Linked DNA regions of Callithrix jacchus. The protein of the gene in region 1 interacts with the protein of each later gene in a pairwise test. Links are inferred from orthologs where the notes say so. Each region holds a gene or a part of one and is shown on either strand. Other genes may lie near its edges.

What was found. The genes of interacting proteins can lie anywhere in the genome.
Region 2: the proteins of FATE1 (region 1) and TIMMDC1 interact in binary tests that used the Homo sapiens proteins (3 or more experiments, as listed by UniProt). The two-hybrid records come from large-scale screens. The link is inferred for Callithrix jacchus from reciprocal best matches to the Homo sapiens genes FATE1 and TIMMDC1.
Region 3: the proteins of FATE1 (region 1) and CD79A interact in binary tests that used the Homo sapiens proteins (3 or more experiments, as listed by UniProt). The two-hybrid records come from large-scale screens. The link is inferred for Callithrix jacchus from reciprocal best matches to the Homo sapiens genes FATE1 and CD79A.
Region 4: the proteins of FATE1 (region 1) and SYNGR1 interact in binary tests that used the Homo sapiens proteins (3 or more experiments, as listed by UniProt). The two-hybrid records come from large-scale screens. The link is inferred for Callithrix jacchus from reciprocal best matches to the Homo sapiens genes FATE1 and SYNGR1.

What each region holds. Positions count from the first base shown.
Region 1 is NC_133524.1:148,013,324-148,017,627, reverse strand, and holds the start of FATE1 (fetal and adult testis-expressed transcript protein), read right to left. Parts: upstream 2,849-4,304; 5' UTR 2,767-2,848; coding exon 2,658-2,766; intron 1,663-2,657; coding exon 1,535-1,662; intron 1-1,534. UniProt on the Homo sapiens protein: Involved in the regulation of endoplasmic reticulum (ER)-mitochondria coupling. Negatively regulates the ER-mitochondria distance and Ca(2+) transfer from ER to mitochondria possibly implicating it in the regulation of apoptosis.
Region 2 is NC_133516.1:83,304,063-83,307,995, reverse strand, and holds the start of TIMMDC1 (complex I assembly factor TIMMDC1, mitochondrial), read left to right. Parts: upstream 1-1,133; 5' UTR 1,134-1,339; coding exon 1,340-1,578; intron 1,579-3,341; coding exon 3,342-3,507; intron 3,508-3,933.
Region 3 is NC_133523.1:36,904,967-36,909,183, forward strand, and holds the start of CD79A (B-cell antigen receptor complex-associated protein alpha chain), read left to right. Parts: upstream 1-1,417; 5' UTR 1,418-1,442; coding exon 1,443-1,521; intron 1,522-3,111; coding exon 3,112-3,408; intron 3,409-3,632; coding exon 3,633-3,751; intron 3,752-4,217. UniProt on the Homo sapiens protein: Required in cooperation with CD79B for initiation of the signal transduction cascade activated by binding of antigen to the B-cell antigen receptor complex (BCR) which leads to internalization of the complex, trafficking to late endosomes and antigen presentation.
Region 4 is NC_133502.1:210,152,042-210,156,249, forward strand, and holds the start of SYNGR1 (synaptogyrin-1), read left to right. Parts: upstream 1-1,408; 5' UTR 1,409-1,461; coding exon 1,462-1,560; intron 1,561-4,208. UniProt on the Homo sapiens protein: May play a role in regulated exocytosis. Modulates the localization of synaptophysin/SYP into synaptic-like microvesicles and may therefore play a role in synaptic-like microvesicle formation and/or maturation.

The DNA.
Region 1 (4,304 bases):
ATTAAACCAGAGGTGATATTCTCCCTAGTCTCGGAGCCTGACCTCCTGGGCAGCTTGATTTGGCTTCTGTCTTTGGACACAGGAAGCCAGATCAACATCTGACCTATTTTTATTCCCAGGAAATCTTTAAACCTGGAAGCCTTTTTTCTCAATCTTCCCTGGGGCCATCCAACAAATCATTTCAGCAATCAAGTCTCCCTCCCTTTCCCAGTAACTTCCAAACTTTTCTGTGGTAACAGTAAAAACCACCATTTTCTAAAATTTTATTAATTTTTCCTCACCAACCTGAATGTGGTGAAAAGCATTGGCTACAGAAAGATGGGATTTGTGATTCCCTAAAGCAGTCAGGTCTCCCTTCTCTCCAAAATAAATGCCTTTTTCAGTATCCTTTGCGACAATGTGGCCAGCATCTTTCTAGAACATTCAACATCCACAGTGAATGTAGCTTAAAGAATTGGCCACAGAACCGTGGGACTCACATTATTTCCTGGAGCAGTCAGTCCTCCCTCCCTCTCCAATCCTGTTGCCTTTTCCCAGCAGCCTTTGCAACAGCATATCAATTTTTCTAAAACTTTCCCTTACCCACAGTGAATGTAGCTAGCTAAAAGGATTGGCTACAGAACTGTGGAACTCACCTAATTCTCCAGAAGAGTCAGAATTCCCTCTCCCTCCAAAATGACTGTTTTTCTCAATATCATTTGCAGCAGTATAGCCACTATTTGTTCTAGAATATTTCTTCACCCATATTGAATGTAGCTTAAAAGCATTGGCTACAAAATTGTCAGATTCACTTCACTGGATTTCTTCCTTTCTTCCTTGCTTCTTCTCTCTCTCTCTCTCTCCCCCACCCCCTTCTTTCTTTTTACAGAGTCTCTCTCTGTTGCCCAGGCTGGAGTGCAGTAGCATGATTTTGGCTCATTGCAACCTCTGCCTCCTGAGTTCAAGCGATTCTCATGCCTCAGCCTCCTGAGTAGCTGGGATTACAGGCATGTGCCACCATGCCCAGCTAATTTTTTTATTTTTAATAGAGATGGGGGTTTCACCATACTGGCCAGACTGGTCTCGAACTCCTGGCCTCAAGTGATCTGCCCATCTCCTCCTCTCAGAGTGCTGGGATTACAGGCATGAGTCACCATGCCAGGCCACTTGACTGGATTTCTTAACAGCCAGAAAGGATAGGAGCCTCACCTGACTTATTGTGTGTATACACACACGTGTACCACACACATAATTTTAAATACAGGAAAGCATTATTTCACGCAATAGATTTACAAAGTAAAGTATTTATTTACTCCCTAAGCAATATTTGTTTCAAGAATTCCGAACTCCCAAGGTTGAACCTCTAGTATAGGAAAGGATGACCGTGACCTTTAACTGGACCTTCCTTTCCTCATTTGCCAGCTCGGAACACAGGAGCTTTCTCTTCCTCCCAAGTCAATGTCTAGCCCTGACTGACCTGGTGAGGCAAGAGCCCCTACAAACAGTACTCCCAATCCCAACCTGGCCACCTTATGCTGAGGACCCCATACAGTACCATTTTCTTGGGCCGGGTGGCAGTCATATTCCAAACTGGTTTGGCTTCAGCAGAGCCTGCAGCTTTTGATTCCACCTTCTGCCTCTTCTGGGGGACACTGAGGGACCGAGATCTATGATCCATCACTTCTAGAGAGAAGAACAGAGGCCTCAGGAGCACCCACAGAAGTTATACCAGGGCTTTTTGGACACGAAACACAGCATAAAAGAAGGCAGAGGCCACAGCCTTCTCGGGAATCACTCAACACCCGTTCAACACTATCCACCAGCTGATCCCAGGCCTCAGTTTGTTCATTTGTTCAAAAGTTAATCAAGCATTTCCTGATGGCTGAGCTCGAGACTAGGTTACTCTCTATTCACTTAGAAAGCAATGATCAAGAACAAGATTCCAGCTCTCAAAGAACTGACCATCTGTTTGTGTATAAGGGGGAATGACAGGTGTACAGCAGAAAGTAATCTATCCTCGCAAATGCAGACAGAGAGACACAGGCTCCATAAACGATCAAAACATGGTAACATAGTAGAAGGAAAGGGCTCCCTCTAAAAAGTAGGAGACAAAAACTGAAGCAGGGACCTGAAAGAAATAAAGGACCCAGCCCTGGGAAATTGAGGGAAAGCACATTCCAGACAGAAGAAACAGCAAATGCAAGGTCTTTGGGGAATAAGCACGCTTGCAGCATTGTAATAACAAACATAAATGCAGTGTGATCTTGGCCCTTTTGTGAGCTATAGAAATGATATTTTCTGTCTATATCATAGCATGAAATGTTTTGAGGAGGCTGATACTATCTTATAGACTGTGGAGTTTGGACTTTCCTCTGAAGGGCAGGGAAATGAATTAGAGCATTGGGAGAGAGAATTGATCTCTGATCTTGTAATTTGAGCTCTCTGAGTATTTTGCAACAGACATGGTGGTGGCTTGGACAAGTGGGAGACAGTAGGAAAAATGCTCCCTTTTCCCTACCTCCCTTATCATCAACCCACAAATCCTCGAAGCTCCCCAACACACACATGTGCAAACACTTCCTTGCACACATGCACCTTTTCCAACACACACATGCACAGGTATAGACACGTATCTACAGAGTTGGCTATAGCCAAGTGGTATTTTAGAGGATCCTCACCTGCTATCCCCAGGTGCTCTTGGTTTTGCCCTTGGCTTCCATGATTCAGTTCTTCAGCCAGGGATATTTCTACCTCCTCCCTGGTGCTGATAGGGCCTCCTGCCATCATAACCAGCTGTTCACTTGTAAGCAATGGCTAAAAATGTGCAGGGTGCCAGAAACAGAGGAGTCACACTCAGAAAATCGCCTCTTCCAGGGACAGGAGCTCAAGGAAGATATAGTAGGACCTGGGGGTGGAGTGACACTCCCTCTCTAGGCTGAGGCCTTGGACTGAGTACCTTCTGTTCCCATTGTATCTAATTGGTTGGGTCCATGGCGTTCTCCCCTGCAACTCTGTAAGCAGCTTAGAAGAGATACAACTCCAAGCTTTTGCCTGTGAGAACTGCTCTGGCTCATGGATCTCCAGATTTAGCTCATGGGGGATCCCATCATCATTTCTAGGCAGATGCAAGGATTGGCACAGGGTCCAAGAGCCACACAGTGGCCACAGCAGAGTTAGGTCCTAGCAATCCAGGCCATACCATGCCTTCAAAAGGGATTCTCTGGAGAGCATATCCTACCTCCCATATCCAGAGTCCCCAAACACAGGAGGCAGCCTTTTTCTGAAGTCGGTCAGCCTAGGCAGGAGCCATGAGAACCAAAGGAGGGAAGGGTGAAAGAGGTGTGACCTGACTGCAGCCACTAGAACCCCAAGGGCCTCAGGCCCTGCACCTTCTAAGTTCCAATTCTCCCTCAGCTTACCTACTGACTAGACCACTGTGATGGTCAGGTTTATGAGTCACCTGGGCCAGGCACTTGCCCCTGGTGATTCCATCAAACACCGTGTAGGTGTTGCTGATGAGGCAATTTGTAGCTGTGATTGGCATCTACAACCAGTGGACTTGAAATAAAGTAGAGACTCATCCTCGATGATGTGGGTGGGTCTCACGCAATCAACTGAGAGGCCTGAAGAGCAAAGACTGAGGTTTCCAGAGAAGAGGCATTTCAACCCCAAGACTGCAGGGTCAACTCTTGCCTGAGTCTCCTGCCTGCCGGCCTGTCCTGTACATTTCAGACTTGTGAGGCCCACAGTCACATAAGCCAATTTCTTAAAATAAATTTCTCTATATTTGTGCATATGTAGATACATACATACATACATACATACATACATACATACATACATATATCCTATCAGCTCTGTTTCTCTGAAAACCCTGATTGCTACAACCACCAATGCTGAACCCTTCATTTAGGAAACAACCCCAGAGCCCCTGGGGTAATAGGAGGCTATTTGTAAAAGGAATCCTTTATAAACCTGTCCTGGTTCCTTTTCCAAATAGCCTCCTCTTCCCCCAGAGTCCCTGGGCCAAGTGGGAGGAAGAGGTGGAAGAAAGGAGGAAAAGAGGGAGGGAGGAAGGGAGGAAGGGAGATAGGTAGAAAGGGAGGGAGGGAGGGAAACAGAGAAGAAGGGGCCAGGACTAGCTGAGATAGGGCTGCTTGGTCTGAGACTGACTGCCCCCTGCCCCCATCTCACCTGTCCAGTGCTGGGGCCGAGCTCTTGGGAAGCAGAGCTGATGTAGTCCCTGCCTGCATTCCTGGGGGCCCCAAAGAAGCCCTTCTCAGCTCCAGTGGAGCAGCTGCAATGAAATTTGAGCTTTCTGGAGG
Region 2 (3,933 bases), on another chromosome or scaffold:
GATCTGAATTATTCATTCGACAAATACTTACTGAGCACCTACTACGGTTCTAGGTCCTGGAGGTACAGAGATGAATATATTTGGTATCTGACCTCAAGGATAGTTTATTGAGACAGATTAACAAATAGGAAATTATGATGCAGTATAGTAAGTGCTACGATGGGTGCTGAATCAAATCTTGTCTCCCAGAGTAGTTTTCATGGAGCTGTCACTAATTCAGCTGGTCATTCTAGTCAGTCACTTCTTGGGGACTTATGTGTAGAATTTCCAGCTATCAAACTCCGTAAGTCTACTTACTGTACACTACCACACTACTACTACTACTACAGTGTGGCAATTATGATTTACAACTAGAAAGGAATAAAGGAGGTGACGGGATTGCCAGTGAGTAAGGGAGTATGCTTCTTAACAAGGATTAAATGAAATTACACAAATATTGAGAATATTTAAGATGCATTCATTTTAATGAAAACTATACTTCGAAGCATATGTTTGCAGAGGTAGTGACAGGAAATTATTGCTGGACTATCAAATACTTGATAGAAATTCCAGAAATTTTCCTGCCTTTTGAGAAGCAGTACACACATATGAACTAAAGGGAGTGAAATCTACCTTATGAAGACCTGCCAAAAAACTGATTCTTCAAAAAAGTGTTCTCGAAATCTTGGTGTAACTGGCACCAAGACCCATTTCCAATGGCTCGTTTTTTTAGGAAAGAAAACCGACAAGGTACAAACGGACCCCGCCCAGTGTGGAAGGCTTCTCGAATGTCGGCAGAGTAGGTTGGACTTGTTTTTGCACAAATCGCCTTTCCCTCTTTCTGTACCCCACTTGCACTTGAATATTGCACTTTCTTCCTCATTTAAGCGGGATTCCTGGCATTTTAAATACGATAAATTACTTTAACCTGTTACCACCTCGAGCTGAACGTAACCAGCCGCAGACTCCGTTTGTATGACCCAGGAGCCACTGAGACACGGAGCAAAGACCTGGCCGGATCACACTGAGCTTCACCTCCAGCAGCCAACTCACTTCCGGGGGTGGACTCAGCACAGCAGGGGCACTACCCGCCCTCAACCGGAAGTGTTTTGGGCTCCGGTTTTGCCGTCGCCGTGCCCTCTGACCTTTGCCCCGGTCGGGCGGGACTTCCTCTCTCATGTTTACAAGGACTCCGAAGTCAGGCCCGGGACTGAAGTCGTGTGTGTCGAGTTGTCCGGCCCAGGGTTAGCCTTGTCCAAATGCACGGGTTCTCACCTTGTACTGTACGCTCTCCCACGGCAAGTCCGGGAGGACTTGAAGTCCTGAGCGCCCACGTGTGACTGTAGGTCGAGAGAAGGCCATGGACGTGCCGCCACCGTGTCTGTCTGTAGGTCGAGAGAAGGCCATGGAGGTGCCGCCACCGGCATCGCGGAGCTTCCTCTGTAGAGCATTGGGTCCTTTCCCCCGAGTCTTTGCTGCCGAACCTGTGACTGCTGATTCGGAGGCCCTTGAGGAGCGTCAGTGGCCGCCTGCCTTCGTCCCAGAGCCCCATTACCCGGAATCCGGCTGGGACCGCCTCCGGGAGCTGTTTCTCAAAGAGTAAAAGTGCCTAGGGCCTGAGGTGGGGTGGGGGACCGCGAAAGCGATGTCCTTAAGCCTTGGCAGCCTGTGTCAGCCTTAGGACGCCAAGGATAGTGTGTTTCATTTTAAAATTATATTTGGGGTTCTGATCATTGTAACCCAAGCTTATGTCTTTTTTTTTTTCTTTTTTTTTTTTAGACAGGGTCTTGCTCTGTCGCCCAGGTTGGAGTGCTGTGGTGCGATCTCTGCTCACTGCAACCTTTGCCTCTCAGACTCGAGTGAACCTCCCACCCCAACCTCCAGAGTAACCAGGACTACTGGCGTGGGCCACCACGCCCGGCTAACTTTTTAAAATATATTTTTTGTAGACAGGGTTCGTGCCTTGTAGGCCAGACTGGTTTTGAACTCTTGGGCTTAGGTAATCCTCCAGCCTTGGCCTCCCAAAGTGCTGGGATTACAGGCGTCAGCCACCGAGTCGGCCCAAACTTGTACCTTTTTTATTTTTGATTTTTTTGAGATCAAGTCTCTATCACCCAGACTGGAGTGCAGTGGCTCGATCTCAGCTCACTGCAGCCTCCATCTCCGGGTTCAAGCGATTCTCCTGCCTCAGCCTCCCTAGTAGCTGGGATTGCAGGTGCCCACCACCACGCCCTGCTAAGTTTTGTATTTTTAGTAGAGACAGGCTTCACCACATTCGCCACGCTGGACTCGAACTCCTGACCTCAAATAATCTACCTGCTTCCACCTCCCGAAGTGCTGGGATTACAGGCGTGAGCCATCGCAGCTGGACTGCGTCCGGCCTAGAAGGGCAATTATTTTATAGTAACTTAATACTTCAGACAGCTATTTGTTAGATCAGTTTCAGGATGACATCTTGGAAGCTCCATTAGCAGTTCTAGCTTCTTATGCATTTGACAGTAATAAATTGAATTAAATTGTAGCTTTTCCTTGTTACTTTAGATTGGCATGTGCCACCCACTGCATAGTGAACTTTTCCTGTGCGTCTTTTAAAAAGCATTTGTTTATATTTTTAGAGCCAGGATCTTTGCTGTGTTGCTATGCTGGACCTGAACTCTTGGGCTCAAGTCCTGCATAAGCCTCCTAAGTAGTTGTGACTACAGGCATGTGACACTGTGCCCAGCCCAATGCTTTTATTAATATACCCCATCAGAATATTTCATGAAATTATTTAGTAATATAGAGTTTAGATTTTTTGCCTTACATCCACGTTTTTATTCTTTCATACATTGCCCTAAAATGTCACCAGTTGGTGTGATTTCTAAAAGTTAGCTTAAAATTTAAACAGGGAAATATTGGTCTCTCTATCCAACTCACAAATTTTTCCCGTTTATTGGGGTAATATATAGGTGTAATAGTCATCAAATAAAAACACCTTTAAAAAAACTTTTTATTGGAGTAGGAAATGCATTTGAAAAAATGTTTATAAGTATACTGATGAATGAATTTTCACAAAGCGAACATAGCTATACCCAGCACTCAGGAAGAAATGGCAACTGTTATAACATCCCAAAAGCTCCCCTTGTGCCTTTTCCAGTCATTGTCTTTTCAGGAGTTGCCACTATCCTAATTCTAACAGCATAGCTTAGTTTTGCCTGAGACTTATGTTCCTTTTACTATAACTCAACTGTTTCATTCATCTGTGGATTCTGCCTATGATGAAAAATGCAGTGTTAGCATTTGGGATAATTCTGATTATAGAGTTTTTGGAGAGCAATGTCCATAAATTAATTCCAAACAACATTGTCTTTTTGATGTTGTAGTGAACAGCAGAAACTTTCAAAAGAACTTGCTGATATCTGTAAGGCGGCATTGACAGCAGGCGTCTTTGGCATGGTGTATGGAGGAGTACCAGGTTTTGTTAATGCTAAACAACGATACATTGAGCAGAGCCAGGCAGAACTTTATCATAACCGGTTTGATGCTGTGGTATGTATTGGTGGACTAAAGGAATTTGGAGCACACTGACTTAGCAATTTACTTTACACTTAATGGTTCAGTTAGGTTGTGGGGATGGAGGGTTGTTTTAAGATGTCAGAGTAAATAAAGTCTATACTTAGTAACAGTGGAAGTACTAATGCTAAAGTGCCTGCATGTGGATTGAGAGACTACTTTCTTATCTTCAGAAAAGGCATGTTTGGCCTCATCACTGTGGCTTTTCTTTCTGAAATACATTTCTTCCAATCCCCTGCTAAATCATCAAGGCTCGACTGTAACATGTTTACCTCATTCATAAAGCCTCCATGAGTATAAGAGCTCACAATAAAGCAATATTTAACATTTATAACTTGACAGATTATGGAGTGCTAACTTATTTGTTACATCATTAGATCTGTACATCAGTTCTTCTGTGAC
Region 3 (4,217 bases), on another chromosome or scaffold:
CATGTTGGCCAGGCTGGTCTCTAACTCCTGACCTCAGGTGGTTCTCCCGCCTCGACCTCCCAAAGTGCTGGGATTACAGGCATGAGCCACCGCACCCAGCCTGTTTTTCTAAAAAAAAAAAAAAAAAAAAAAAGAATTCTGCCAGGCACAGTGGCTCACGCCTGTAATCCCAGCACTTTGGGAGGCAAAGGTGGGCAGATCACAAGGTCAAAAGATCAAGACCATCCTGGCCAACATGGTGAAACCCTGTCTCTACTAAAAATACAAATATTAGCTGGGTGTGGTGGTGCGGGCCTGTAGTCCCAGCTACTCAGGAGACTGAGGCAGGAGAATCGCTTGAACCCAGGAGGCGGAGGTTTCCATAAGCAGAGATTGCACCACTGCTCTCCAGCCTGGTGACAGAGCGAGACTCGGTCTCAAAAAAAAGAATTCCAGTAATGAGCTGATCATGGGTCTAACTCCTTGAATACCGGGAACAAACACCATGTCATATCACATAATGAGACAGGGAGACATTCTGATCCCCATCTCAGAGACAAAAAATGCCAAGGCTGGAAGGATCAAACTGCCCACCTTGTCACATGTTAGCCACGGGGCAGCCTGCCTTACTGATTCTTCATGAGCATTTATAGTGACTAGCATTTACTGAGCACCTATTATGTGCCATTTCTGTGCACCCAGCAACCCCTTTAAGTCCTTGTTTCTTTTTTTTTTCTTTTTGAGATGGAGTCTTGCTCTGTTACCCAGGCTGGAGTGCAATGGCACCATCTCAGCTCACTGCAACCTCAGTCTCCCAAGTTCAAGTGATTCTCCTGCCTCAGCCTCCTGAGTAGCTAGGATTACAGGCACCCACCATGCCCAGCTAATTTTTGTGTTTTTTGGTAGAGATGGGAGTTTCACCATATTGTTCAGGCTGGTCTTGAACTCCTGACCTCGTGATCAGCCTGCCTCGACCTCCCAAAGTGCCGGGATTACAGACGTGAGCCACCGCGCCCAGCCTTAAGTCATTGTTTCTAATCCCAAGAAGCAAGGAAATGGCGTCAGGGAAGGAACAAGGTTTGCCCAAGGTCAGGCAGGGGCAGAGGTCAAGCTCAGAACCCTCACCTGCCCAGAGCACGTGACCAGGACTCAGGCTCTCTAGGCTTCCTTCCAAAGGCTCAGCAGTGATGACCCAGCCCTTGAACCAGCCTCTACCCCTACCCAGGCAGCCACCTCTCAGGGGAATTGTGGCCACCGCAGGTGCAGGGAGCACTTCCTCTCTACTCATGGCCTGAAGCATACCCGGCAGGGGCTGTCCCCAGGCCCAACGAGCAAAGGACCCAGCAGCGAGGACCACTAGAGCCCATCTCCGGGGGGCTGGGCAGGAAATAGGGTGGGGTTTGGGTAGGGAGCTGGTACCCCAGGACTGCTGCAGCTCAAACTAACGCATCGACCGGGAGAAGATGCCTGGGGGTCTCGGAGTCCTCCAAGCTCTGCCTGCCTCCATATTCCTCCTCTTCCTGCTGTCTGCTGCCTACCTGGGTATGTGGCCAATGGGCAGGAACTGGGGGGAGGAGGGGGAAGCCGTGGAGGCTGCAGAGAGGGCACAGGCAGCGGGAAGGGGGCTCAGGAGAGGGGAATAGGAGGCAGAGAGCACAGAGCCAGGGAAGACACCTGTAGAAATCGGGTCTGTTCCATGCTGGGCAAAGATGCGGCTGGAGAGAGCCCAGCGAAGGAAAATGGGGGTCCAGAGCCCCACGGAGGGAGGCAGGAGCAAGCGTCACCTCCCCCACCTCCTGTAAAAGAAGGAACTAAAGCCGCTCTTGACTGAGCACCAGGGCTGCAGGCAGGAAGGGCAGTGGGGCTAGCAGCGTTCAGTGTCTGACAAGGGGAGAAAAACCTTTCTCTGCCTTAAACCTCAGGCGCCACCCTGTGTTGGGAGCCCCTTCTCAGCACTGGGGGATCTGATGCCTCATGGACCCCCCTTGCCCACCCAAGGCCAGCGCGTGGCCATGCTACCCCAGGAGCTCAGAGGTTTCTCGGTTTCTCAGGGTAACTGGAGTTCCCACCTGAGTCCTAAGCCCATGCCAACGAGGGTGCTTGGCCCCTCTCCCTACCTCTTCTTCCTTCTCTTTTCCCCACCTCCCTCCTCCGACTGCTTCCAGAAGAAGAGGCCGGCCATGTGGGTGGCCTGGCTGAGATCTGGGGCTTCCCAGAGGAGCCCCGGATTGGACGCTGCAGTCAGCCTGAGCCACCCCGACTCAGACACCCACAACCTCCACCCTGCTGAGGGCGTTCACTCACCACCAGCCCAGCCCAAGGACTGAACTCACCCCTGACCCTGAAGTTGAAACATACAAGTTACAGAGAATGAGGGACGGGCACAGGGTCACAGGCCAGGGCAGGCCACAGATAGGCTCCTCAGCCCAGGCAGGAAGAGGCCAGGGAGCCAGGAGTTTGAACCCAGTGCCACTCCTGATTGCCTGGTGATGCTGGCAACTCGCCTGCCCTCCCTGGGCCTCAGTCATCCCTCCCGTAAAGTGGGGTTAAGGAAAGAACCTACTGCTAGGGTTCTGTGAGGATTACCAAGAAAAAGCACCAGGTGCAGAGTCTCACTGAGGCTGGGGTGGGAAAATGGACTGGGAAGGCTGTGGGAGGAGGGGATGCCTGCCTGCTTCTGGAAAGAGCTGTCTGGACGCAGCCTCCAGTTCCTAGAACAAACATCCAAAAGCCAGTGAGTTCTCAGGCCAGAGCACAAAGTGGGTATGCAGGAGGGGGGCAGGAGATGGCACTGCAGAGGTGACAAGGGCCTCCCAGGGGTCTCACTATCCCAGAGAGTCTCATTCTCCTCCCCCAGGATGTCCTCACCCACCCCAACCCCTGTGTCCTCTCTCCTTTCCCAGGGGCATCTTCACTCTCCTGCATCCGCCTCTCCCCAAGATGCATCAGCCCCTCTCAGGGGCTCTCCCTCCTCCTCCAGACCCAGGAGAGTCCTCGCCCTCCTCCCCTCCCCCCATGAGTGTCCTCACCCTCCTCCCCACCCCTCCCAGGAGTGCTGGAGCTGTAAGGGCAGGGCTGCGGGCCTGTGTCGCCATGCCCAGTCCCTGACCCACCTACCCTGCCTCTCCGCAGGCCCTGGGTGCCAGGCCCTGTGGGTGCACAAGGGCCCAACATCGTTGATGGCAAGCCTGGGGGAAGAGGCCCACCTACAGTGCCTTCACAATGGCAGTAACACCAACGTCACCTGGTGGCGTGTCCTCCACGGCAACTACACGTGGCCCCCGGTGTTCGTCGGCCTGGGCCAGGGTGTCAACGGTACGCTGACCATCCAGAACGTGAACAAGAGCCACGGAGGCATATACATGTGCCGTGTCCAGGAGGGCAACAAGCCATACCAGCAGTCCTGCGGCACCTACCTCCGCGTGCGCCGTGAGTGGCCTGGCCCTGGCCCCTACCCCCACTCTCCCGCTGGGGACACTCAGTTTATCTTTGAAGTGTGGAGGGGATATACCCAGTACCTTCTTTGTGGGTTTCAAACTGGCTCGGACGAGGGACTGACGATCTCCTCTGCAGAGTGGGGATTTCGGGGGGCCCGGGGCCTTGCAGAGGTTGGGCAGATGTGCCAGGGCTTTAAGCTTCCTACCTCCTTGCAGACCCGCCCCCCAGGCCCTTCCTGGACATGGGGGAGGGCACCAAGAACCGCATCATCACAGCCGAGGGGATTATCCTCCTGTTCTGCGCAGTGGTGCCTGGAACGCTGCTGCTGTTCAGGGTGAGTCTGCTGGGACCCCCGAGTTGGCGGGTAAGGGCCTGGGCTGAAGGACTCCCAATGCCCAGGTGGCCCTCTAGAGCCTAAAGTTCTCCATCCAAAACTTGGAAGAAGAAAGCACCCATTGCACAGGAGCTGTGGAAGTTAAATGAATGAATATAAAGAAGGGACTTGGGCCGGACATGGTGGCTCACACCTGTAATCCCAACACACTGGGAGGCCAAGGCGGAAGGATCACTTGTGGTCAGGGGTTCGAGACTAGCCTGAACAATATGGCGAAACCCCGTCTCTACTAAAAAAAATTCAAAAATAACCGGGTGTGGTGGCGGGTGCTTGTAATCCCAGCTACTCCAGAGGCTAAGGCAGGAGAATTGCTTGAACACAGGAGGCAGAGGTTGCGGTGAGCCGAGATTGTGCTATTACACTCCGGCCTGGAGGACAAGAACAATACTCTATCTCAAAAAAAAAA
Region 4 (4,208 bases), on another chromosome or scaffold:
CATCTCTACTAAAAATACAAAATTAGCCATGCGTGATGGCACGTGCCTGTAATCCCAGCTACTTGGGAGGCTGAGGCAGGAGAATTGCTTAAACGTGGGAGACAGAGGTTGCAGTGAGCCAAAATCACGCCATTTCACTCCAGCCTGAGCAACAAGAGCGAAACTCCTTCTCAAAAAAAAAAGAAGAAAAGAAAGAAATGTATGTAAAGCCCTTAGCACAAGGCCTGGTAAAGACTAAGCAATCAACTGAGCCTAAGATGGACATTTGCCCTTGTAATGTTTATCAGGGGCACCCTCAGGCCCAGCGCACATTTCCTCCGCACAGAAGTTGTGCGCTGTCATCACGGAATGGCAGGATACCAGAGAAGCAAAAGCCTCCACACATACCTCATCCAACCTGCTCCTGGAACCAGTGCAGGTAACTACAGACACAGAGAGGCTGTAGAGGTACAGGGCAGCAGGAGACCCAGCCCTGGAAGGTGGCCCTTCCACTGCAGGGAGCACTCCTCCATCCAGCCGCCTTTCCATGAAACCTGGAGCTCTAGCCCAAGCTGTGATGGGTGATGGAGACTAGGCTCTATTTAATGAGCACCTACTGTATGCCAGGCCCTTGGGTAAGGAATTGAATAAATTAGACAACACTTGGGTGCTCAGAGCTCACAGACAAGCAGAGCAAGGGCCCACAAACAAACGACTGCGTAATTAGTTGCTGGATTCAGGAAAGGGACAACGTCCTGGGGTGGGAGGTAATGGGGAAGAGGAAGTCTCAGCTGCCGCCTCTGTGCCAGGCCCCTCCAGGCTGGGGGGTGGGAGGGTGAGCAGGCACAGGGACACACATGACGTCATCGTAAGAGCGCGGGGAAAGGTAGTCCTGAGAGGTGGGGGCTGCTCTGGAGGGCTCTAAGAGAGGGTCATTCACTCGTGGTTCATTCATTCATTCGAGAAATATTCATGCGGCGTATACTGTGTACCAAGCACCCTCTAAGGAGGACGAACACGGCTTCTGCCCTCTCATTATATTTGGGGCCGTCAAAGCGACAGGAAACAGTCAAACAAATCAAGCATGAAGATGGTTTCAGCAGAGCCGATGGCTTGGAGGGGCTGCGACCGGGAAAAGGGGACCGGGGATCCCAGACAGGGGACCGGGGATGAGGGGCAGGGACACGGCCCGCACTTGCTGCACACGCACCGCCCTCCCCCTACACTTTGCAAAGAGGTCACCGCACTGGCGAAGAGCGCGCCCTCCGCCCCGGGCCGCAGCACGCGCGTCCCCGCGCCCGAGGTCGCGCGCCGCCCTGCACCCCGCCCGCGCCCCGAGAGCTGCGCCCGGCGCGCACAACGCCCCCTCGCGGGAGCCCTGGGCCGCCGGCCGCGCGCGCAGGGGAGGGGGCGGGGGCGCCGCGCACGCGCATTGGTCGGCGGCGCGCGCCGAGCGGGGGGCACCGCGCGGGTGCAGCCACGATGGAAGGGGGTGCGTACGGAGCTGGCAAAGCCGGGGGCGCCTTCGACCCCTACACCCTGGTCCGACAGCCGCACACCATCTTGCGCGTCGTGTCTTGGGTAAGGACCGGCCGGCGGCTCCGCCAGGCCGGGGTGGAGGTGTGGGCAAGGGCGACACGCCCGGACGGACCCCGACCCCACCGGGCCCCTGGCGTTGGCGCGGCAACGGGCGAGGAGCTGTCCTGCCCCTGGGGCCCGCTGCCGCCGCTCCTCCTGCGGGGGCTCCGGGCGGGTGGAGGCCCTGGCGCTCGCGGAGGGCGCCTCTGCCGCTCCCGGAGCCCTGGTTTCCTGGGGTCCCCGGTTCGTGCGCCCCACTTCCCGCCCGGATCGCTGTGACCTCCAGGCCGCGGCTGTGCAGCTAGAGGCTCGGGTTGTGTGCTGCCGCCGCGGCGGACTCTAGACCGAGGGGACGGAGCCGGGGTTTAAGGTGGCCTTTTGGGGTGGGTGGATCAGGGCGTAGACCGTCTCGCTGGGGTGCCTGCCGCGCCTGCGATGGACGTTGGAGGAGGAGAGGGCAGGGAACCGGGTTCGTGTTGCCTAGCCCGGCCTGTGTGGAGCTGAGTCGGGAGCCGGATGCCTCTCTTCCACCCAGGAACTGCCTCTCCTTCTCGGCGTGACCTTGGTCTGGGAACCACCAAGGAAATGTTCTCGAGAAATGAGGACTTCAATTCCGAGGTGGGGAGTGTCATCTCGTCTATCACGCCTCAGTTTCCCAATTTATAGACAAGGTGGGAGGAGCCTTCTTGAGGCCCCCCTTGGGCTCTGACATTTCATTAACCCGTAACACCCCTCCCACTCAGCATACACCTGGATGCCCACCGCAGGTGTCTGGGAGAAAGGTCTCCTCTGACAGTGAAGAGGCCAGGGTGTCCTCCAGCCTAGCTGGGGGGCAGGGTCCCCAGTGCAAAGGGCTGAGTGGGGCTCATGTTCATACTGGTGGGGGGGGATTGGACAGAGACAGTGAGCACAGAGGGAGGAGTTCAGGTGCCTTGAGTGGCACCCCATGGAAAGCGTGCCTGCTGGGGTCTGGAGAGGGGGTGCCCAGGGCTCCCTGGGGTTGGCTGGCTGTAACCTAGATACCCCCACCCGAGGTTCTGGCCTCTGCAGGTCTAGGGCCCATTCCTGGTGGGCTCAGACTAGAAGGGCTTGGATTGGCAATGCTGGGCAGGGCACTGTCAGGTACCCCAGGGGCTACATCCAAGGCCAGCTGCCACCTCAGCATGTTCAAGCTTCCTCCTTTCCTCGGTTTTCAAGGTCTGGTTGGTAGGATGGCTTGGGTATGTATCCCCAGCCTGCCAAGAATGACCCCATTTGAAGCCTTTTCTTCTCAAATGCTGTCAGATGGGAGCCCTTTGTGGGCAGGAAAGCCCAATTCCTGACACCACCTTCCCCAGTGCCTGCACAGAGCCTGGCACCCCAGCACATCTGTAAGTGTTTGTGGCTCTGAATTCATTTATCTGTCCCAGTCTCCTGCTCCCCAGATGCCCTGACAGGCTCTTGACAAAGGTGGGAGCCCTGGGGGGCACCTGCCAGATCAGGTGGGCAAGGTGTGTTCACTGCTCCTGCCCACCCCTGGGGCTCTGGTCTGGAAGGGCGAAGCCACTGGCTTTGTGAGGGGGCGTGGGCATTCTGTCTGCTTGGGTCATTTCTGCCAGTGATGGTTTCATTTAGTTTATTGACTCTTTTGGGCTCTAAGGGAAGGCAGCATGACTCAGAAGCAGGCCTTGTTCTCAGGGAGCCCACAGTCCCCCTGGGGAGTAAGCCAGGTGCCACTAGGCAGAAGCCACAAGAGCCAGGAGAGGCGTCTCCCTGCTGTGGAATCAAGCTCCATTGAGAAGGTGGTGTCAGATTGGGGCTGGTGGGATGAGGGTTTACACATGTGCACATCCAGGGGCGAGGATGGGAAAGAGGAGGATCAGCCCCTCTGAGCACCCATGGGGTGCAGGACCACACACAGCCACCCAGCTGGCTCCCCAACACTAGAGGAAACTGAGGTTCAGGGAGGCCAAGTGCCTGGCCCAAGGTCACTGAGCATGTAAGTGGCAGAAGAGCATTTGAGCCCAGGCCTTCCTGTCTCCAAAGCATAGTGCTCCCCCCGGGGGCAGGGAAGAGTCTGGAATCGTGGAATGTCAGGATTGGAAAGGACACAAAGGTCACCTGGGCCAACCAATGTTCAGTCAACTGCACGGCCTCCAGCCCCGCTCACACAGGTGGATACGAGGTGCTCACTACCTTTGCTGGACCAAGAGGTGTCTGATACAGGCTGATTAACACCTTCAAAAACAGCTTTTTTTTTTTTTTTCCCCTGATCAAAGTAATACCTGCCAGTCATTGGAAAGTATAAAAATCACGTGTGGTGGTCACGCAGTAGGAACCGACTTACCACCACCGAAATGGTGAAGATGGTAAATTTGATGCGACGTGTATTTTACCACAACAGAAAAAGTTTGGTGGGGAGTGGTGATCATGTGATACCACCGCATGATAGGGAGGGCTGCAGTGAACACGGGGCTGTGTCTCCTTCTGGTCTTTTCAAAACTGTGTGGCGTGCTGAGCCGTTTTAACACATCAGGAGCTGCGGGGGATGCAGCTGGTGCCTGCTCTTGGCCCTCACACCGCAGGGCAGAGCGAGTGAAGCCTGAGCTCCAGGGCTGGGGTGACCCATTTATCCTGGTGTGCCGGAATTGCCTGTCTTTAGCATCCCGAGA